Saccharomyces cerevisiae S288C: one gene and its partners. The gene in region 4 interacts genetically with the main gene of each other region. Each region holds a gene or a part of one and is shown on either strand. Other genes may lie near its edges.

The links.
Region 1: mutations in KTR6 (region 4) and CYT2 together harm fitness more than expected from each alone (negative genetic interaction), as found in Saccharomyces cerevisiae (2 studies listed by BioGRID).
Region 2: mutations in KTR6 (region 4) and EFM1 together harm fitness more than expected from each alone (negative genetic interaction), as found in Saccharomyces cerevisiae (2 studies listed by BioGRID).
Region 3: mutations in KTR6 (region 4) and PNT1 together harm fitness more than expected from each alone (negative genetic interaction), as found in Saccharomyces cerevisiae (2 studies listed by BioGRID).

What each region holds. Positions count from the first base shown.
Region 1 is NC_001143.9:274,596-279,634, forward strand, and holds CYT2 (cytochrome c1 heme lyase CYT2), read right to left. Parts: upstream 3,269-5,039; coding exon 2,594-3,268; downstream 1-2,593. Other genes in the region: MIF2 (Mif2p), read left to right, coding at 1-448; phosphopantothenoylcysteine decarboxylase complex subunit CAB3, read left to right, coding at 688-2,403; SRX1 (sulfiredoxin), read left to right, coding at 3,686-4,069; malate dehydrogenase MDH1, read left to right, coding at 4,528-5,039.
Region 2 is NC_001140.6:19,355-25,490, reverse strand, and holds EFM1 (protein-lysine N-methyltransferase), read right to left. Parts: upstream 3,709-6,136; coding exon 1,951-3,708; downstream 1-1,950. Other genes in the region: CBP2 (Cbp2p), read left to right, coding at 1-1,874; ARN1 (siderophore transporter), read left to right, coding at 4,520-6,136. UniProt on the Saccharomyces cerevisiae protein: S-adenosyl-L-methionine-dependent protein-lysine N-methyltransferase that monomethylates elongation factor 1-alpha (TEF1/TEF2) at 'Lys-30'.
Region 3 is NC_001147.6:819,045-824,626, reverse strand, and holds PNT1 (Pnt1p), read right to left. Parts: upstream 3,605-5,582; coding exon 2,333-3,604; downstream 1-2,332. Other genes in the region: putative serine/threonine protein kinase HRK1, read left to right, coding at 1-2,039; RBL2 (Rbl2p), read right to left, coding at 3,853-4,173; DSE3 (Dse3p), read right to left, coding at 4,469-5,582. UniProt on the Saccharomyces cerevisiae protein: Probably involved in mitochondrial export. Confers resistance to the anti-pneumocystis carinii drug pentamidine. May act by the removal of pentamidine, or its damage targets, from the matrix by an active-transport mechanism.
Region 4 is NC_001148.4:455,451-461,361, forward strand, and holds KTR6 (putative mannosyltransferase), read right to left. Parts: upstream 3,009-5,911; coding exon 1,668-3,008; downstream 1-1,667. Other genes in the region: LEE1 (Lee1p), read left to right, coding at 309-1,214; Arf family GTPase ARL3, read left to right, coding at 4,513-5,109; mannosyltransferase complex subunit MNN9, read right to left, coding at 5,329-5,911. UniProt on the Saccharomyces cerevisiae protein: Glycosyltransferase that transfers an alpha-D-mannosyl residue from GDP-mannose into lipid-linked oligosaccharide, forming an alpha-(1->2)-D-mannosyl-D-mannose linkage. Required for addition of mannosylphosphate in yeast mannan.

The DNA of each region.
Region 1 (5,039 bases), on a different chromosome or scaffold from region 4:
GGAAGCTAATGTGAAAATTAGCGACACTAAGGAGGAAACTAAGGATGAAATTATTGCATTCGCGCCCAATTTGTCGCAAACTGAACAAGTAAAAGACACGAAGGACGAGAATTTTGCCCTTGAGATAATGTTCGATAAGCATAAAGAATATTTTGCTAGCGGCATATTAAAACTACCAGCTATTTCTGGACAAAAGAAATTAAGCAACTCATTTAGGACATATATTACGTTCCACGTGATACAGGGAATAGTCGAAGTAACTGTATGTAAGAACAAGTTCTTGAGCGTTAAAGGTTCCACTTTCCAAATACCGGCATTCAACGAGTACGCGATTGCCAATAGAGGGAATGATGAAGCCAAAATGTTCTTCGTTCAAGTGACCGTTTCAGAAGACGCTAACGATGACAACGACAAAGAATTAGACAGTACGTTTGACACTTTTGGGTAATTATGATGTGAATATTCTCATTATGCATGCTATGTACTGAAGAAATATAACTAGGTCCATACGCTTATACTGTTAAACATGTGAACTTTTCTGTAAGAAAATGAATCACGTAAAATTTCGCACCGAACTTTCGTAGATGAGAGAACAAAAAGCAGAAAAAGAGAAAGAACAGTAAAGTAACACTTAGTTAGCATATTTAAATAAAAGTCTAAAGGACCAGCAAAGAGTTATTAGGTGTGATGACGGATGAAAAAGTGAACTCAGATCAGAATATGAACGGTAAGCAGGGAGTTAACTTAATTTCATCCTTGCCTACAACACAAGTGCCGGTTTCAATTTTGACCAACAAGGAGAGAAGAAAAAGTATTCACGATGAATCAAATTTCGAAAGATCTGATAGTCATGAAGATCAATCAAAATCCAACTCTAATAGGAGGAATATTTACAAAAACGATTATAGCACAAATTTGAGGGATTTCTCTTTTGCCAATCTGAAGCAAAATAGTGAAAGGAACAAAGATGGCCATGAAATACAGATCAACACCAGTATGCCAGCTAATACAAATGGCCAGCAAAAAAGGTTTTCACCTTCATTACCTTCTGCTGTTTCATTTACGGTGCCCGAGGTGGAAAGGTTGCCGTATCATAGATATTCGATATCCAATAAACCTGGAAAGCAGCAGCAGCAGCAGGAACAACTGCAGCAAAATCAACAACAAGAAGAGCAGCAAAAGGCACAACTGCAGGAGCAAAATCAACGAGCAAAACAGCAAGAAGAGGTGAAGCAAATTCAGGAGCAAGTGCAAAAAAAGCAAACTGAAAGACAGCAACTGATAGACGAAAAGGAGAGGATAGCGAATGCAATATTTAAGGAGAACACTACTAATGATGGTACTGATATCAGGAAACATTCGGTATCGAGTGGTACGAGCAATAGCGAAGATGAAGTAGATTCACCTTCGATGGAAAAAAATTCTATCGTTCATATGCCAGGTGATTTTATCTACTTCAATCCCAAGTCAAACGCTTCTAAACCTATCACTGCAAAGGCGGCGCCATTATCGGCTAATAACTCCACACATAAAAACAAGGAAGTTATCACTGCACCCACAGGGCCTCGTGTACCCTTCACAGAGTTCTTTCAGAAGGAAGACGACAAGAAATTCCACATTCTCATTGGTGCGACGGGCTCAGTTGCCACAATAAAAGTACCTCTAATTATTGATAAACTTTTCAAGATATATGGGCCTGAGAAAATCTCTATTCAGTTGATTGTCACAAAACCCGCTGAGCATTTTTTGAAAGGGCTCAAAATGTCAACACACGTTAAAATTTGGAGGGAGGAAGACGCTTGGGTATTCGACGCTGTGAATAAGAATGATACTAGCTTGAGTCTGAACTTGATATTGCACCATGAATTAAGAAAATGGGCTGATATTTTCCTGATTGCGCCTTTGTCAGCTAACACACTTGCTAAACTGGCCAATGGTATATGTAACAATTTGCTAACTTCTGTGATGAGAGATTGGTCACCACTGACCCCAGTGTTGATTGCGCCTGCAATGAATACATTCATGTATATCAATCCTATGACAAAGAAACACCTGACGAGTTTAGTGCAAGACTATCCGTTCATCCAAGTTTTGAAACCGGTGGAAAAGGTATTAATATGCGGAGATATTGGTATGGGTGGTATGAGAGAATGGACAGATATTGTAGAGATCGTTAGGAGGAGAATCAATGAAATACGGAAAGCTAGGGACGAGGAAACTGGTGATAAAGAGCAAGAACAAGAAGAACAAGAGGGTGCTGACAATGAGGACGACGATGATGAGGATGACGAAGAGGATGAGGAGGACGAGGAGGAGGAAGAAGCTCTAAATGAAACAGCATCCGATGAGAGCAATGACGAGGAAGACGAAGAGGATGAGGAAGACGTGAAAACCGAAGTTTAAATGCATTAGAAAAGAGTATTTTGTGTTATGTTTTATGTTTTATTTTTTTTTTTTTTGTTTATTCCTTAAAAGAAGATTACTGCTTTTTCATTCCCTAGTTTCTAAATTGAGTGCCTAAATAAGATTAAATAAATATGTATGTGGAAACTAGGGAGGGTATGTTTTTATTTACAGGAATAGTTGTAGTAATTCAAAAGCCTAAAGATTTCCAGAACCGTAATCTAAAGCCCTCAAAACTGTTTAATTTTGGTCTAACATCGAGATAAATAAGTGGTTGTTGCTGCGAGTTTGCATCGTTCAGATCGGTGGAATAGAAATCGATTACGTAGTCGACGGTTTTACCGCATCTATCTATCTGCCAATCATGTCTATCAAAAGGTTTGGCCAGGTGCAAGATACGGGACCTGAACCAGGCCCTTGGTGTCAGTTTTTTGGAATCACCTTTAAAATTTGTTAATTTGATACCGCCACACGCTTCACCACCCTGCTTGTCTTCCCAGCTTTTAATGTAGTTCCAAACCCGCTCATTGATGGAGTTATGTAAAGGCACAACCACCTTCATGTCATCTGAGTTCGGATCCCAATTTTTTTTCATCATTGCCTCGTAAAATTGTTTCTCCGACGGGTATATCCAGTTTCTGTCAGAATTCGTCCTTGGTATGGTGGAAACCTCTCTGGACTGAGAGAGATCCACCGTGGTGTGATATTCAGGCGTTTTATCGTTATCTTGTGGGTTTGCAGAGCACTCTAGTTGATTGCCTGGGGCAGTAGCACCAGGATGCGCTTCGTTGCCATGTTCTCGTAGCCATAACTTTTTGGTTTCCTCATCTACGGGGCATTTCCCCTGTTGGTCTGAAGACATCATAATATGTAAAATAGAGACGAATGAAAAGCACGTGAACTAACAAACTATTTACTACTACCGAAATGTGATGCTTAAGCCTTTGGCCTCTGCAATACTAGCGATTGCTTTTTCCCTGATTAGTAAGCTACATCATTTATACTACATCTTTCTGTCTTAGAAGGCTTACAAACATCGAAAAGCTGGAACTTTGATTTCGAAAAAAATATGCCGTTACCCGTTGCGGGTCCCTTTTTTTTAGAAGGCCGGCCCAGAAGTCGCCATTATTTTTAGTCATTACAGTAGCCCTGTTGGGTAAGGATGCGATGCAATACATGTCAAGAGGTGTTGTATATAAACCACAATATCTACCATCAATGAGCTATATATACTTTTCTTACTGAAAAAAAAAACTACAAAACCAAGTAAAAAAAGAACAATATGTCACTACAAAGCAACAGTGTAAAACCAACAGAAATTCCTCTCTCAGAGATCAGACGCCCCCTAGCGCCTGTGTTGGATCCTCAAAAGATCGACGCAATGGTGGCCACAATGAAGGGCATTCCCACCGCTAGCAAGACATGCTCTCTAGAACAGGCTGAGGCGGCTGCCTCAGCCGGGGAACTGCCGCCCGTGGACGTGCTGGGCGTGCGAGTCAAGGGACAGACGCTATATTATGCCTTCGGCGGCTGCCACCGTCTACAGGCATACGACCGCCGGGCTCGCGAAACGCAGAACGCCGCCTTCCCCGTGCGCTGCAGGGTGCTACCGGCCACTCCCCGCCAAATCCGCATGTACCTGGGCAGCAGTCTCGACATCGAATAATGATTACGCTAATAACACTACATAAGAAACATAGATAAATTATAATTCACTAATACAAAATCCCTCAATTTAATTAATCAATTTCTTATTCAACAACTAGAGTAGGCACTAGCAGTTTGTGCGACCCTCGGCGCCGGAGAGGTACAAGGGACCTGGCGGTTGGGCCTTCCTGCCAGCTTCTCCCCCCCTTCTCGGCATTCACTCAGCGTTCATTGGCTCAATCACGCGCCAAGCGGATTCCCAGAAAAATACAAAAAAAAGTTGCCATAATACAATGGCGGATATTACAATATATATAGCTTGCGCTTTAAAAAGAAGTGTTAGCACGCATTGGGTGTTTGTACTGTATTCCTCCACTTAAGATAACGAATACACATATAGATATACAATATATTATACGTGGACATCTACGGAAAGGAAGAAAAAAAACAAAAGGAAAAGGAAGGATACCATATACAATGTTGTCAAGAGTAGCTAAACGTGCGTTTTCCTCTACAGTTGCCAACCCTTATAAAGTGACTGTTTTGGGTGCAGGCGGTGGTATTGGACAACCATTGTCTTTGCTTCTAAAGCTTAACCATAAAGTCACGGACTTAAGACTGTACGACCTAAAGGGCGCAAAAGGTGTTGCCACCGATTTGTCTCATATTCCAACAAACTCCGTGGTCAAGGGGTTTACTCCAGAAGAGCCAGACGGATTGAACAACGCTTTAAAGGACACAGACATGGTTTTAATTCCTGCTGGTGTGCCCAGAAAGCCTGGTATGACACGTGATGACTTGTTCGCCATCAACGCAAGCATCGTTCGCGATTTGGCAGCAGCAACCGCCGAATCCGCTCCCAATGCTGCCATTCTGGTCATTTCCAACCCAGTCAATTCTACCGTTCCAATTGTCGCCCAAGTCTTGAAAAACAAGGGTGTTTACAACCCAAAGAAATTGTTCGGTGTGACTACCTTGGACTCTATTAG
Region 2 (6,136 bases), on a different chromosome or scaffold from region 4:
TGTTCATGGTCTCATTGAGGAGACAGGGCAGTTCCTCTCGTTACAGGTATAAGTTCAACATGGAGAATATCACACATCAGGTGTTCCCTCGCTGTAAGCAAGCGTTTAAGAAGACAAACTTATCTTATGAATATTGTGATCTTGAAGGAGTACTGTATAATATTTCACTCACGGACTTGCAAAAACTGCTATTACGTGATATAAACGCCCCTCGCGAACACGCATTCAAGATTGTTAGAACAGATCTAACTCAAAAATCCTCGAAGAAGAGGATCCAACACTGGGAACGGATTGCGCCTATGTTTGACCACCCCTTAAGTCTCTACGAGAAGTTGTTCAGCGAAATGGATGAGGACTTCAAGCCATCTTTCGAGTGGCAACAATTAATAAGGGTACGATGCAAAGATGATAAGTTGAAACTGCAGCGTGTAATTTGGCCTAAGTCGATATTTTCAAACTTTTGTCGGGGAATCGGGGTTAAGAAGAGCACTTACGATAGACTCTTGGAACAAAATAATGGTGAGGTACCCATGTTTGTAAACCCAGCTAATGCAAAGCCCTTGCCTCTTTTCCAGGTTTCCGATGAGGCGATGATTGGGGAATTCGATGGAATTGGTATTTTCCCTTACTTTGTAGATAAACATAGAGAATTTTTCGTTACTGAGGTAGACAAATTGAAGACCAAGATAGCTTCGCCACTTTGCACCTTGAATGAACGAAAGCGCATTGAGAAGGCTAACGCTGGTCGGATACTGGCGAACGAAGAGGGTAAACCATTCTATCTGGATGCAAACAGTGCCACAACTCGAATCGCTGGTGGTAATGTCGTCACTTTGAAGCAACTTTTAGAAAGATCGGTTAGCCATAAGACATTGTGGAGCAAACAATCAAACAAAGACAGAACGTGCCCTGGAGACATTTTAAGAGCTACAATATTATCAAACGACTTCTCCATCCGGCAATTGAGGGCTGAATTTTGCAAAAATTTCATTCTCTACAATATATTCACCATTTTACAACGTAACAAGAAAAGCATCCGTTCCTTCTCTGGTAACGATAATGCGCCTTCCTTTCAATTTAGTTGGAATGTTTGGGACTCATATATATGGAAGCAATATCAAGAGACCGAGTCCATGAAAATACCCACGGACCAAGCTTCTCTGATCAACTACAAGACAAAATACGACTCTTTTCTTCATGACCTACAAACATATTCCGCACTGGTAATTTCAGAAATGAAATGGAACCAATTCTCTATTTTCCAAAATGATGAAACGACTTTATCAAGATTTGAACACATCACATTAATTTTGCAAACCGTGCTGACAAAATCGAAAATGATTAGAATTTTCCAGCCAAACTTGTACAAGTTTATGCAAGATGATTTAAGACCAACTTTAATGGAGTTGGTGGGTTTCACTGAGTCAATAAATGCAACAATAGAACCTGGTTTTGCGAATGAACAATCGCTACAATCTGCAAACGGATTAAAGAAATTGGCCAACCAACTTTTATACTTCGAACAGGAAATATATGGCGAAAAGTTCCGCGTAAATAGGCCCATCCAGCTTCGTCCAATAACATTATCAGCAAACTACAAAATTGTTATTCTGGATAAGAAGAACGCCATACCCGAAATATTTCAAACCCTACTGAAATTCATGACACAAATAACGACATATTTTGTTAAAGATTTGTCGGAGGTAGAACTTCATGGGCACATGCATTGTATTGATAAAAAAATGCTGGACAAGTCGAAATTCATGTATTTATACGAAGAGAAAAGCAACGAGGAAGTGAAAGCAGCTTCTCCTCAAAAGGAGAAGATAGTAGATAATATCATTGGCCTATTATCAAATGATGAAGAACATTAACATGAATTGGAAAAAGAAAAAATTGCATGTAAATATATACATACGTAGAATTTTATACTTAGGCTACAGATCAAAGCTAAATCTGTAAGTCGTATGCCTTCTTCATTAGAAATATAGGCTCTTTATTTGATTTCCTGATCCAAACCAATCTATCAATCGCAGTATCTGCCACAATGAACTGTCTTATGCCCCAATCACCGACACTATAAATTTCTGGAATTCTCTCCGATAAATTAGGGAAGTATTTTTTATAGAACGGCAAAAACTCCATAACATCTTCTTTTTCAATGACAATTGAATCACTAACTTCTTTGAAGGTTTGTTTAATGAAACCTCCCTGATTATTACTTTTATCGTTGATTAATTTGACTATCCAGAGCAACAATGCGTCATTAAGACAGTCTTTTGTGATCAAATCTTCGTAATTTATAGCACCAAATACCAGTAAGAGAGAATTGGCAAATATTTTGTCGTTTTTAAAAATTGTCTTGAATGACAGAGAAAACTCCTTATTATTGCTATATATTTTTTTTTGTAAAACGGACAATTTCTCAGTAGTGGCGTTCAGAATTTTTTTGTTATCTTGATAGTATAGTTTGATTAGTTTAATAACATGAGGGCGTAATTTTTGAGTCGAAGAAGTTTTAATTTTAAAATTCTTATAAAACAGCAATCTCTGGGATACTACAGATGTTAATTGATCAATACCTTCCAATACGCTCCTTACGGTTGGAGTTTCTTCAGACTTTAATTTACTTAGGTAGGCAAATAACGCTAGTAGAACCGGTGGTAATGGTTCAGAAATTTTTAAACTAAATTGTAAAATGGTAGTTTCTCCATCGTCAGTAACAAAATTACCTGATTTGTTAAAATCCACGGGCAAACCGCTAACTAAGGTGGATGGTAGCTTTAAAGTCAACCTAGAGAAGTCAAACTTATTCGAGGAATCCCAAAACCCGTAGTTTAACAAACATTTTTCATTAGAAATATTACCATAATTATTAAACAATTCATCCTGTGCACTAAATGTGGTAGTCTGCGACATGAAACAAAGTTCATTTTGTTCATTCATCTCCCATCTTACTGGTACATCGTTTTTATGGTTTAATAAATCTACTATTGGATACAAAAATCCTTCGTTCAGATTGGTGCGGTCTGTACCGGCCCTGCCTAAAATGACACGAGGAAATGCCCTAGAATTAAAGATGCAGTACGACCAAAGATACGCCACGAACGAGTTCCATTCCGAATCTTCTAGTTTACATCCATTGATGTGTGCGCAGAACTGTTCCAACGGCACTACGGCAGAGTCTTTATTCTCCTGGAATAAAGACAAGAACTGCTTATCTTGAGAAGAGTGTTCAATAGATAAAGCTTGGAACAGCATCCTCCACTCCTTTACTAGTTTGTTCAGCGTATCTCTCATAGTTAAGTACACGTCTGTACCATGCAAATTCATGACTTCATCAGTAGACCAAAAATATGGTTGTGGAAGGTGCAAGGGTAGCACATCTAAATATGGTTTGTAAAAGGATTTCAGGTGAACTGCATCGGTGCCAAATTTCAACTTTGACAAGTACAACTGTGTCACGGAATTCAAAAGACTCCTTTCATTAGCAGCCTGGGAAAATTCTGATAAAGCTTGCTGGGAAGTGATCAGCAGAGTTTCGGGTACCCTAATCAAAGCTTGGTCGGGTTTGGGAGAGAATTTTTCGTTTACAAATGCACTAACACCAGCATCCTCTGTAATCCTAAAAGAGATTTTCGGATCGATGAAGGCTCCATTATTTTGAGCCCATTGTAAGCAGTTATCTAGCTCAGTTTGGGTGATCATGCAGAAGTTCGTTAATTAAATGACGAGGTAGCTTCACCAAGCTTGATTCCTTAGTCTTTTTTACTTCCATCATTTCTTCTTTGTTGGAATGGTCAAGTTCAAGTTGAAAAATTTTCTTTTTCATAGTCAACTCATCGCAGGCACATTCGCCTTGAACGAACAACGAGCAGGACTCCAATAGAATAATAGTAATAGATTACAGGCCTATACAATCAAGACAACTATCAAGGTGGGGAGGGTTTCCACCTGTAACTTCCGCTGACTAATGATACATATTATCTGATCGGAAGCCAATGAAAGATCCCCTAAATATCACGCATGTAAGCGACCGCGATGAAGCGTACTGGCAGCTCTATCACGAAGCGATGGAAAAATACACCTGCGAATGAAAATCCATCAACAGAAATGAGAAGACAATTGTATATTATCATTAACGTTCATCTTTAGGACTTGTTCTCTTACGAAATTTGTGTGCCTGTATTTGTTAGAAAGCCACATATGTCTTGGCCTTTTTCACTTCTTTCCTGTTTGGGATTGCAAATTTATCAAAATGCACCCATAAAAGCAGGTGTGATATAACAAGCACATATCGTTAGGAAAATAGTGTCAAAGAGAAAAAAAGGCCAAGCAAATCGGAGTACAGTTTACATGAAGTAATGCAAGATGCATAGAACTGAAGATTTCAGGAATAATTGTATATAGGGGAGGAAACATTCGATAGCTCTCTTTTTGCTTTCGTTCACTATATCTCTTGTTTTCTTTCTTAAAAATATATGGACAGTAGTTCAAGCCACTGCATAGCAACGTACTAATGGAGTCTGTTCACTCTCGCGATCCTGTTAAGGAGGAAAAGAAACATGTCTTCATGGGAATGGAACACGAGTTGAATCCTGAGACTCATAACGATTCCAACTCCGACTCATATGGTCTCCCTCAGTTATCTGAAAAATACAATGCCTTGAGACAGAACAGGAGCCTAATTATCCAGCAGACTGAAATCATTGGCTCTGCTTACAATAAATGGTACTTACAAGCGATTTTACTTTTGAGTGCTTTCATATGTGGCTACGGTTATGGACTGGACGGTAACATCCGTTATATTTACACTGGTTACGCCACATCATCCTATAGTGAGCATTCTCTGCTGTCTACAATCAACGTCATTAATGCTGTGGTCAGTGCCGCTTCGCAAATCATATACGCTAGGTTGTCTGATGTGTTTGGTAGACTATACCTTTTCATTAGTGCTGTCATCCTATATGTTGTGGGTACAATTATTCAATCACAAGCTTATGATGTTCAAAGATACGCTGCAGGTGCCATTTTCTACAATGCTGGCTATGTGGGTGTAATCCTTATTCTTTTGATTATCCTATCCGATTTTTCATCTTTAAAGTGGAGACTGCTGTATCAATTTGTCCCGACTTGGCCTTTTATCATCAACACATGGATTGCTGGTAATATCACTTCCAGAGCCAATCCTGTTGTCAACTGGTCTTGGGATGTAGGTATGTGGGCTTTCATCTTTCCCCTATCATGTGTTCCAATCGTTTTGTGTATGTTGCACATGCAATGGAGGGCCAGAAAGACTCCTGAATGGCACGCTTTGAAGGGCCAGAAGTCCTATTATCAAGAACATGGTTTTATTAAGATCTTAAAGCAATTATTTTGGATGTTAGATGTCGTTGGTGTCCTTTTGATGGGTTGTTCCCTAGGTTGTATCTTGGTCCCACTGACCTTGGCTGGTGGGGTCAAAACTACCTGGAATGATTCAAGATTGATCGGCCCCTTTGTTCTTGGCTTTGTTTTGATCCCTATCTTATGGATTTGGGAATATCGATTCGCTAGAGATCCAATTCTTCCATATAGGCTGGTCAAAGATAGGGCTGTATGGTCTTCTATGGGTATTTCTTTCCTGATTGATTTTATTTACTATATGGCCGCTGATTATTTGTACACGGTTATGATTGTTGCCGTCAATGAATCCGTTAAATCTGCAACCAGAATTGCCACATTATCTTCATTTGTCTCTACTGTGGCCTCTCCATTTTTCGCTTTACTTGTAACAAGATGTACGAGATTGAAACCATTCATAATGTTTGGATGCGCGCTATGGATGGTGGCTATGGGTTTATTGTACCACTTTAGAGGTGGAAGTCAGTCCCATTCAGGTATTATTGGTGCATTATGTGTCTGGGGTGTGGGCACTACTTTGTTCACTTACCCAGTTACCGTCTCTGTACAATCTGCCGTCTCTCATGAAAACATGGCGACAGTTACAGCTTTAAACTATACCCTCTATAGAATTGGTTCTGCTGTCGGTTCCGCAGTTTCCGGTGCCATTTGGACTCAGACTTTGTACAAACAAATTTTGAAGAGAATGGGTGATGTTGCTCTAGCCACAACTGCCTACGAATCTCCATATACT
Region 3 (5,582 bases), on a different chromosome or scaffold from region 4:
ATTCTAATGCAACCAGTATCTCAACAAACAACTACAATAATAACTATGAAACAAACCACCACCATAATATTTCTCATGGGCTCCATGACTATACTTCTCCCGCCTCTCCAAAACAAACCCACTCCATGGCAGAATTGAAAAGGTTTTTCAGACCTTCTGTAAATAAAAAACTATCTATGTCTCAACTTCGTTCCAAGAAACATAGCACCCATTCCCCCCCACCTTCAAAATCAACTTCTACAGTTAATTTAAATAATCACTATCGTGCCCAGCATCCTCATGGCTTTACAGACCACTATGCTCATACCCAGTCTGCTATACCGCCAAGTACCGATTCTATCCTATCTTTGTCCAATAATATTAATATATATCACGATGATTGTATTCTGGCTCAAAAATACGGGAAATTGGGTAAGTTATTGGGTTCCGGTGCCGGTGGGTCCGTTAAAGTTCTTGTGAGACCAACTGATGGTGCTACTTTTGCCGTCAAAGAATTCAGACCAAGGAAACCGAATGAGAGTGTGAAAGAATATGCCAAGAAGTGCACCGCAGAATTTTGTATTGGTTCGACTTTACATCACCCAAATGTTATCGAAACTGTTGACGTTTTCTCTGATTCTAAACAAAATAAATACTATGAAGTTATGGAGTACTGTCCGATTGATTTTTTTGCTGTTGTTATGACAGGCAAGATGTCTCGTGGCGAGATCAACTGTTGCTTGAAGCAATTGACTGAAGGTGTTAAATATTTACATTCTATGGGATTGGCACATAGAGATTTGAAATTGGATAATTGTGTCATGACTTCCCAGGGTATTTTGAAATTAATTGATTTTGGTAGTGCTGTTGTGTTCAGATATCCTTTTGAAGATGGCGTAACGATGGCTCATGGAATCGTGGGTAGTGACCCTTACTTAGCGCCGGAAGTGATTACCTCCACCAAATCTTATGATCCTCAGTGCGTCGATATATGGTCTATTGGGATCATATATTGTTGTATGGTGCTTAAAAGGTTTCCATGGAAAGCCCCTAGAGATTCTGACGATAATTTTAGATTATATTGTATGCCGGATGATATAGAACACGACTATGTTGAATCTGCCAGGCATCACGAAGAGTTACTGAAGGAAAGAAAAGAAAAGCGTCAAAGGTTTTTGAATCACAGTGACTGTTCCGCCATCAATCAGCAACAACCAGCTCATGAATCAAACTTGAAAACAGTTCAAAATCAAGTTCCAAATACTCCAGCATCTATACAGGGTAAAAGCGATAACAAACCAGACATTGTGGAAGAAGAAACCGAAGAAAATAAAGAAGATGATAGCAATAATGATAAAGAAAGCACGCCAGATAATGACAAGGAAAGTACCATCGATATTAAAATAAGCAAAAATGAGAATAAAAGCACGGTAGTTTCAGCTAACCCAAAGAAAGTAGATGCCGATGCCGACGCTGATTGCGATGCTAATGGTGACTCTAACGGCAGAGTGGATTGCAAGGCTAACAGTGACTGCAATGACAAAACGGATTGTAATGCTAACAATGACTGCAGCAATGAATCGGATTGTAACGCTAAAGTTGATACTAACGTCAACACTGCTGCCAACGCTAACCCTGATATGGTTCCCCAAAACAATCCACAACAACAACAACAACAACAACAACAACAACAACAACAACAACAACAACAACAACAACAACACCATCATCACCAGCATCAAAATCAAGACAAGGCCCATAGTATCGCTTCCGATAATAAATCGAGTCAACAGCACAGAGGACCTCACCATAAAAAAATTATTCATGGCCCATACCGTCTATTACGTCTACTACCACATGCTTCAAGACCTATCATGTCCCGTATACTGCAAGTAGATCCAAAGAAAAGAGCAACCTTAGATGATATTTTTAATGATGAATGGTTTGCCGCCATTGCTGCCTGTACCATGGATTCAAAAAATAAAGTTATTAGAGCGCCTGGCCATCACCATACATTGGTTAGGGAGGAAAATGCTCACTTAGAGACCTACAAGGTTTAATACGAACTACTCAATTATTTTCACTTCTTTTTTCGATTAATTTAATTGTATTTTCTATTTTTTCTTATTTTTTTCTTTCACTTTCCAATTGAAACGCTTGACGAAAATCTATATACTATATATACGGAAGAGTATCTATCATATTATACATACAATATAGAGTAACATTGCCCTTTGCTCCAAAAGCAAGAAACATCACTGAATTATTGTTTGAATTTGCAATTAGAAAAGTTTAAAAGAGTTTTTGTTTTAAACAATATGTACAGCATAGATAATGTCATGAATATTTACATCTATTGAATATCTTTCGTAGCTACCAATTCTGAATTATATTTTAACAATGATATATTGTTGACACCCCATTTCTCACTGAATGTATGCTTTCCGTTTAAGGATATAGTGTCATTATATCTTAATGTCCAATAAAGAAACAATCTTTTCAGTAAGATTTCTTTCCCTAACGTGTCATTAACCATCTCATTCAAGTCATCGCCCATGTGATAAAGTTTTCTTTCAAGTATACAGTTAACCAATTCTCTATCACTTAGCGCGATTTTAGTTTTCTCAACATCAGTGTTGAGTATACTCTGCAACAGCAACCAGTCATCGATAAACAGATACTGGTAAATTTTTTCTATCTCATTGCAAAGTAGCTTCTGTAATTTTAACTTTTTATAAATATACAGTTTCCAGTTTGATATCATACTTTGAGGAAAGCTTGTCAGAAAATTATACAAATTCTCAATAGGAACTGCATATGGTGGCTCATACTTAATTGTACCTTGCTTAGTAAACTCTAAGGGACCCAGACCGTAGTTACCTTGTGTGCTTGTTGTTCCCTTGATATATGAGTTGGAAAGCTTCTTGTATCCACCAGGAGTTAAACAATTGTACGGACAGACACGTGGAAAAAAGGTAAAGATCAATACACTTACCTCCTCAAATATGAATACTAAGGTGAAAAATACAGGTAATTTCCAGATTTGATCTCGTCTGATCAGTTCCACCAGTGTTTTCCTATTGATTGAAAGTGGCCTTAATGGGGCTTTTGCTGAAGAACTTGTAGGCAATGATGAAGACGATAGTCTTGTATTGATTTCATGCATTTCTATTTCCCGTACTAAGTTAGCCAATGCACCGTTTTTTATGCTGAATTTCTGCTCTTCGTTTCGAGTATCCCAGAATACTTTTAACGTGTTCTGAATTCCTGTTTTATAGCTTTTTAAAAGATACAATCCAATTCTAAACCAACCTGTCATGAATTTCCTCCATTTGCCAACCTTAGTATCCAATTTTACCTGTTCCAAGATCTCCTGCTTGGGGAACTTAGTCATTGGTAGGGATCGATTAGAGTTTAGAGTAGCGGCCAGAGGCTCTGGAGAATCGGATGGTGTTGTCTTCGCATTCCAATCGACATCCTGTACTATCTGTAGTGAACCTAATTTGTAACGGCTATTCAACGCTTTAAATAGTGGTGCCTTCACTAAACCGTGCAATTGAATAGAATCGCTTTTTATCACCGATGGTGCTATGTATTTTCGTACCAGTGCAACTCGAGAATCCATATCGATGGCATTAAAGGTGTTAACTCAATTAAATAGATTAATAAAGTTCTTTTTAAATATAGAGTAAAATGTTCTTATATCTCGTCACTGTATCAACAGCCGTCTTCCACTTTTCTACTTTTGCATATAATATTCCGTGCATTTTCTAGCGAGATTTATTATTCATCCGCAACAGGTTTGTACATAATAAAGTATAAAAACCTGCATCAAAATAAATGCGAAAAGGTAAGAAAAAGGTTATCTATAGATTATTTAGAATCGAGTAATTCCTGTGCAGACGTAATAGCGGATCTTGCATCACTGACATCTTCGGTACCCTGGTAAGTTTTTAGAAATTGTTCTAAATCCTCTTTAAATTCTCTAATCTTCTCATATAAAGTAGGTAATAATCTTTTTGTGTCATCAAGGACCTCCTCCTGTTTCTTCAAGTCATATGGGTCAACTGACTTGTCTTCTTTAAGTTTTGCCACATGTGCTTCCTGATCTTTCAGTTCTTGTTGGTAGTACCCTTCCTCCTTAGTCAGCCTCTTCAAGGCCTTGACTTTTATATCCAATTGTGTGGGTGCCATTGATAGTGAAATGTAGTTTTCTTGAGTTCAACCTGTTGTGCTTTATGCTCAAAAATGCCCTTATAAGACGCACTGTATCTAACTGCTCTGTTTATATGTAGCCATAGTAGTTCTTCATTATGATCCTTTGCGGGTAATACTACAAAAGGTGCGACATAAGCGGCCATTTATCGTTGAAATTGTGACACTTTTCTATTGATGACCACCTCTGGTGCAAATACACAATGTGTCACCGCTCATGCCATTATTCTACTTATATACGTATGATTTTACTTGAAACCTAGAATAAATTTTTTTATTCGCTGTAAATGCTACTGCTGCAACTTGCTATTTCAATGCAGTCAATTTTTTTTTGAAGAATATTCAAAGCCCTATCCTCGTCATCGTTGTCATCTCCATCATCACTGTCATCGTCAAAAGTCATGACATGCATTATTTTAGGCGGATCGAGAATTACTTTTTTTAATTTTCTTATAGAGAGTTTATTCAAAAGCGTATTGCACGATGATGTTTGTGCAACTTTTGGAAGCTTGTTATGTATATCCAGATCTTCCACTGATACTGTTGAGGGCAAAGTCTCCGCAGCAGTGCAATAGCCTTCCTCACTAGTGCTTTCAGACACAATGGATGATCTCATTGTCCTCTTATTCGTGTTCCATACTATACTTTCTACTTCGGACAATTCCTCATCTGAATTCGATTGGTCAGAGTATGTACTGCATCCAGACGTGGTGTATTCTGGGCTAGAAATGACATCGTTTAATGTGTTAGAATTGACAGGTTTCAACTTTGGTGTTGTTGACGAAAACAAAGTCTCTGTGTCGTCAGGGCAGACGACATATGGTACCTGAAATGCCTCATTTTTTTTAGCTATTTGTTTTGAAGCGCATATATCGATAATTCTGTCAATTTCTGAATTTAGGGCAGTAGAATCGCTTGTAGAAACGTTTTCATAGGCTGATAGAATTTCGTCAAACAATATTTCACTACCGCTTTTGCCATACTTATTTTTTCTACAGCAATCTTGTGTCTGTGTTTGCATTAGGGAGACCGGATTAATAGGAGTAAGGGCTTTTACAGGCATTACAATTGGGGCCGGGCGAGAGACAAACACTTTATCAATAATATGATCCGAATGTGTCTTATGCCCTAAAGATTGTACTACTGCAGGCTTTGACAGCGTCGGCCTACGTAAACTTTTTCTTTGAATTGGTAGTGATTTTACCTTCTTTCTTTCTCGTAATGGTAGAATCGTGCTTTGAGGACAAACTGGTCCCTTGGGAACTTGCATGTCAGTAAATTTTTTCTCTCTAATCACCTCAAGTTGGGAGCGTGGCCTCTTCTTGAAATCATGTAAGAACAATTCTGGAACAGACTCTAACCGTTTCTTCAGTTTCAGTGTACCCCCA
Region 4 (5,911 bases):
CGGTGCTTCGTGTAGTTCTTCCCCTATATCTCAATCTAAAGTAAATTATTACAAAATATGGTGGTGATCTTTTAATCTCAAAGCTTCTTTTACTCCGGGCATTATAAAAACAGAATCTCTTAGCAGTTACTCTTTTCCCTTTTCTCTTGTGCCGTCATATTAGAGTAATTATAATTTCTTCTTTTTCGGCTTCCCCTTGTTTCTACAAAATCTCGATTTTATTATCTAACACTATCATAACTACTACTATTACTATTACTATTATTATTATTATTATAAATCTTAAAACTATTATTTGCTAAAACAAAATGGATGCTTTTGAGAATATGTCTGTATCAAATCATCCGGGCGGTAACGCAAGAAGAAACTCCCAATCAGCAAACGAAATGCTTGCATCGCAAATTCAGGATTTCCAGAATATTCCAAGGTCTTTCAATGACAGCAATGCAAATGTAAATTTGTCAAAAAATTGTACTGTCGGCAATCAACTGCCTTTCTCATCACGTCAACAAAAAATTATCATGGAACATTTACTGATAACGAAGAACAATTCTCAACAGCAGAAGGACTATTCACACGTGCCATGCAAATTTTTTAAGATGGGCAATTGCCAAGCTGGCTCGTCTTGTCCCTTTTCCCATTCCCCAGATATTATCAGTTCTGCGAATAATTTACCTTGCAAGTATTTCGCAAAGGGTAACTGTAAATTCGGTAACAAGTGTGTTAATGCTCATGTGCTGCCAAATGGGTTCAAGATGAACAGTAAAGAACCTATTGACATCACTCCCCCTTCACAAAACAACTACTTATCCCATGCTAGATCAGCTTCTTTCTCTACCTACACGTCTCCTCCTCTGTCTGCACAAACGGAATTCTCTCACTCTGCTTCGAATGCAAACTACTTTTCCTCGCAATACCTAATGTATTCGCCTCAGAAAAGTCCAGAGGCCCTATATACTGAATTCTTTTCTCCCCCTTCGTCTTCTTCTTCGTACATCAACTATAGCTATAATAACTCCAACATTAATGCCTATTCTCCAGTCTCTTCGTCTTCATCTAACATTTGGCAAGAGCAAGGCCAAACTACGTTATCGAATCCGAGTGTGAATCAGAATTTAAGGTATCGTACAGGCCCTGCAATTCAAGAAGAATCAGATAATGAAATTGAAGATTTACTTATTCACAATTTCAATTCCAGATACTGTCATGAATGAAGAGCCGCCCCATCCATAGTTTTTCCTAGTTCAAGCATTAATATACCGGACCACTCTACATCTTCCGAAAGCCGGAAAATAAGAACAAAAAATAATAAAAAAAAGCACGTTTAATATAAAAAACATTTCATTGTATGAGTTGGATTCTTTTAATTTTATTTTAAAATACGGTTGCATTTTGCATAGTAATATCCAACCAATTATTTACTGAAATTTGAAATTTGATTAAAAAAGTCAAACCAAAAAAACTACGACAATACATGAAGCTCTGAATCTTCTAGCCTAGTCATTTTATATATATATATTCACCTCCTCTCGATACGTTCCATCATAAGTTAGTTTTGTTTTTCTCTTTCTCGCGATCCTAATTAAAAATTAAATAAAATAAATAAATACATATGTATATATATTCATATGTAGAAGATTATTGTTCTTATACATCAGTGTTTTGATTTATGGTAACCTATCCCAACCTTCTGGCTTATCTTTCTTCATAATGTCGAAGTAATGTCCGCCACATGAACCACTTCTAAACGTGAAATCGTTACCCTGGTCACAGTTACAATTATATTGGTTCCATATATCATCGTTTAGGGGACAGTTATTGTACTTGTCATAATGGAATCCTATATTTTCGAAAAAATGTATTTTATCCTTTGGCAACAGCATCGATAACCCAATTGTGTGGATGATGGAATCAGACCATTTCCAGTAGAAAATACCGCCCTCTTCGTCGATGTAATTAAAAAATTTCCTGTAAGCTGGCGATCTATAAAAGTTCAAATTACCAATTTCAAAATTTGATGTGAATTCACAGTTGTTAAAATCTTCAGAGTCCTTTTTTGTAATAAATGACTTGAAATTATTCTCGGAAATAAACTTTGGAAAATCCTTTGCAAATTTTTTCGTAACATCCCAAATCTTCTCATTGGCTTCCTTAGCTTCACTCATACTCAATGTGAAACCAAACACTTTGCCTTCATCTTGCATCCACCTAAAAAGGTCATGATCAATATCACAGTACAATTTAATACCAGGGTCTACTCTCCAGTACCAATCAAACTCATCCAGAACTGGATGCCTCCAAAAAAACCCTGCAAAATATCTAGCTTGATATCTTACAGCTCTAGAATCACCATCCGGTACATTTGCTAATGAAATTAGCGATTCTGCTGCTTTATTTTCATCAATCCATTCAGGGTATACCCATTCGTCTGCAGGAATTTCAGCAAATTTAATATTAATTAACTCAGGATCACCATTCATAGAATCAGTTATGGCTTGACGAATCATTTCTTGCTTCATTCCGTCAAGCTCCCCCTGACTAATAAAAACCCAAGGATAAGCAAAATTTTTGTTAAACTTCACCTGCACTTCATCAATAGATTGTAAGATTTGGGTCATGGAATCCCTTTCAGTAATTAGTGAGACAAAGCACGCCTTTGGTGGTGATCCTCTATGATTGATATACGATGGCACCATGAACCCTAGCGTCGTTTCATTACCACCATAAGATTTGATCTTTTCCTTAATGGCATTCACGGTGGCATTTCTAATGGCCTCTCCCTCTAAAGATTGCTTCAATTCGGCTTCTTCCTGTTCACTTTGTATACGCCTTTGTTCCTCTGCACTAATTTTTGCAATAGGTTGCAAAGATTTCGGAAGGTATGGTGTAACATACTGTTCAGACATCTGCTTTGTTTTTGGATGATTTATTGTCACCATTAGCGCAAGCACGAAAACAAACGAAATCAACAGAAAGCGTGCTATTTTTTTGCTCAGCAGTACGTGCATCTTACCTTATCTTATCTTCACTAAAGGGCACAAAAGGTTGGGTGAACGCTTAGTATCCCTCTAGTCTTGTATACTCGTACACATTATAAGTACATTTAACAAATCTCATCCACATTTCTCGAATAAATATCACATGTAACTTGAAGGTTATTTTTATATTTTTTTTTCCTGTGAAGGAACAACTCGTGTCTCACGAGAGCGCCACTTAAAAAACGAAAAGATAATCGGCGATGACTATATATGTATGTGATTGAGAATAAAAATATGGAAAGATAAAAGACCTAGTAACGTTGTATTTCAATAGTGAGGATAACATAAAGAAGTAAAAAGATCTTTGAAAATGTATGAAGTAATACAGAAAAGGAAAACAAAAATAATAAACGTTTTACAGAGTCCTGAACTCATGAGGCTCATAGAGGACCCATCAAATCTGGGTATTTCTTTACATTTTCCAGTAAGTTCACTGCTAAAAAGTAATAAGTGCACACCAATGCCTAAACTTTCTACGTATAGTTTGGCTAGTGGGGGATTTAAGGATTGGTGCGCGTGACATCCCTCTAGACGTTCCACCAGAGATTGATATCATCGATTTTTACTGGGATGTTATTTTATGCATGGAATCTCAATTCATATTAGATTACAATGTTCCGTCAAAAAATAAGGGGAACAATCAGAAGTCTGTTGCTAAGCTGTTGAAAAATAAGCTTGTAAACGATATGAAAACTACGTTAAAAAGACTAATTTATAATGAAAATACCAAGCAATATAAAAATAATAATAGCCACGATGGTTACAATTGGAGAAAACTAGGCTCGCAGTATTTCATACTGTATCTTCCCCTATTTACGCAGGAACTGATTTGGTGTAAACTTAATGAAAACTATTTCCATGTTGTATTACCATCTTTACTGAATAGTAGGAACGTTCATGATAACCACAGTACCTATATAAATAAAGATTGGTTACTTGCCCTTTTAGAGCTAACTTCCAACCTGAACCAAAACTTCAAATTCGAATACATGAAATTGAGATTGTATATTTTAAGAGATGATTTAATTAATAATGGTTTGGATCTTTTGAAAAATCTTAACTGGGTCGGTGGGAAACTGATTAAAAATGAAGATAGAGAAGTCTTGTTGAACTCGACCGATTTAGCTACGGATTCTATTTCTCATTTATTAGGTGATGAAAACTTTGTTATTTTAGAGTTTGAATGCTAAGCAGTTATATTCAGTTAGAAGCATATATCCCACCATTAAATAAGTTAACATACTACTGCATTTTTATTTTATGTTTAAGAGCAGATACGTCAATGTAGCTTGCATATGTACGTATCCTCCCCCACCTCCTATTTTCTACTTTGAACTTTATGGGAGTGTTAGTATAAGAAATATGTTTACACCTTTTTCAGACAAATGTAAACGGAAAATTAAAAAACGAATTCAGATCGATGTGTTAATCAAGTAGATGAAGGAGAATAAAGCATATAAAGCGCACCGCACACATGTTTCATTTAGTCAAGGGACTTTACAATAATTGGAATAAAAAGGAACAATATTCAATTCTAATATTAGGTCTAGACAATGCAGGCAAAACGACGTTCTTGGAGACATTGAAAAAGGAATACTCTCTGGCGTTCAAAGCCTTGGAAAAGATACAGCCTACGGTAGGACAAAATGTGGCGACAATACCCGTTGACAGTAAACAGATCTTGAAGTTTTGGGATGTAGGTGGTCAAGAATCACTGAGATCAATGTGGTCCGAATACTATTCCCTATGTCATGGTATAATTTTCATTGTGGATAGTTCAGATAGAGAACGATTAGACGAATGTTCCACGACCCTACAGTCAGTTGTAATGGATGAAGAAATTGAAGGTGTACCCATCTTGATGCTGGCCAATAAACAAGATAGACAAGATAGAATGGAAGTACAAGATATAAAAGAAGTATTTAATAAGATTGCGGAACATATAAGCGCTAGAGATAGTAGGGTTTTACCAATAAGCGCATTGACTGGAGAAGGTGTTAAAGACGCTATAGAATGGATGATTGTTAGACTAGAAAGGAATAAAAAGTCAAGACCACCGATTTATAAATGATAAAGAAGCACCAAAAGAAATAAAATGTGAATGGTTTATTCTCAAGCTCAGAAATTAGTTGTTGTAGCACTTTTTATTCGGCATTTTTTAATATACATGTGTAAATTATATATATATATATATGAATATATATCTTGTTTTGTTTATTTTCAACTAATAATCGCAACAATATTATCTTTCAATAACGCTATAGCTTCTGTATGCTTTTTGCTCAGTTGCTCAATGGTTCTCTTCCTCTATGTGATAAACCAAATAGTTTGGTAAGCCAAATACATCGTAGTTTAATCTCTTCGCCATCTTAGCAAAACCTTCTGTTTCAATCAAGTGATAAAATGGGAAATTAGGGAACATGGCACCGTCTCTGTGAACTTCTGCTTTGACCAAAGTACAGCCTCCACCAACACCATCCAGCGCCATCTCTTCACCTGGTACGCCATTAGCATCGTAGAAATGAGCCATTAATGGCCTATAAGTGGCAATTTCTGCATAACCCTCGACAATAATCTCGTCATCACCCATCTGAGAGGCTATTTCTAAACCGGTGTCACTTTCTTGCCAGTTGTTGAAATCGTATGGTCTGATTGATGGTTGCTTCTTCTCTTCATCGTAAAATCTTTGATAAATGTTTGCAGCTAAGATAGCTTTGTTGTGTTTGGTCATGTCTTGAATTAAAGATGGTGGTGTCTCTATAATATCGGCATCTAGCCACAGCACCCAAGAAGTGTGAGGTCCTATGGTGGAGAATAGTAATTCATTGCGCGCCAAAGCCATTGCTGCACGTCTTTCCTTTTGAACATCTAAA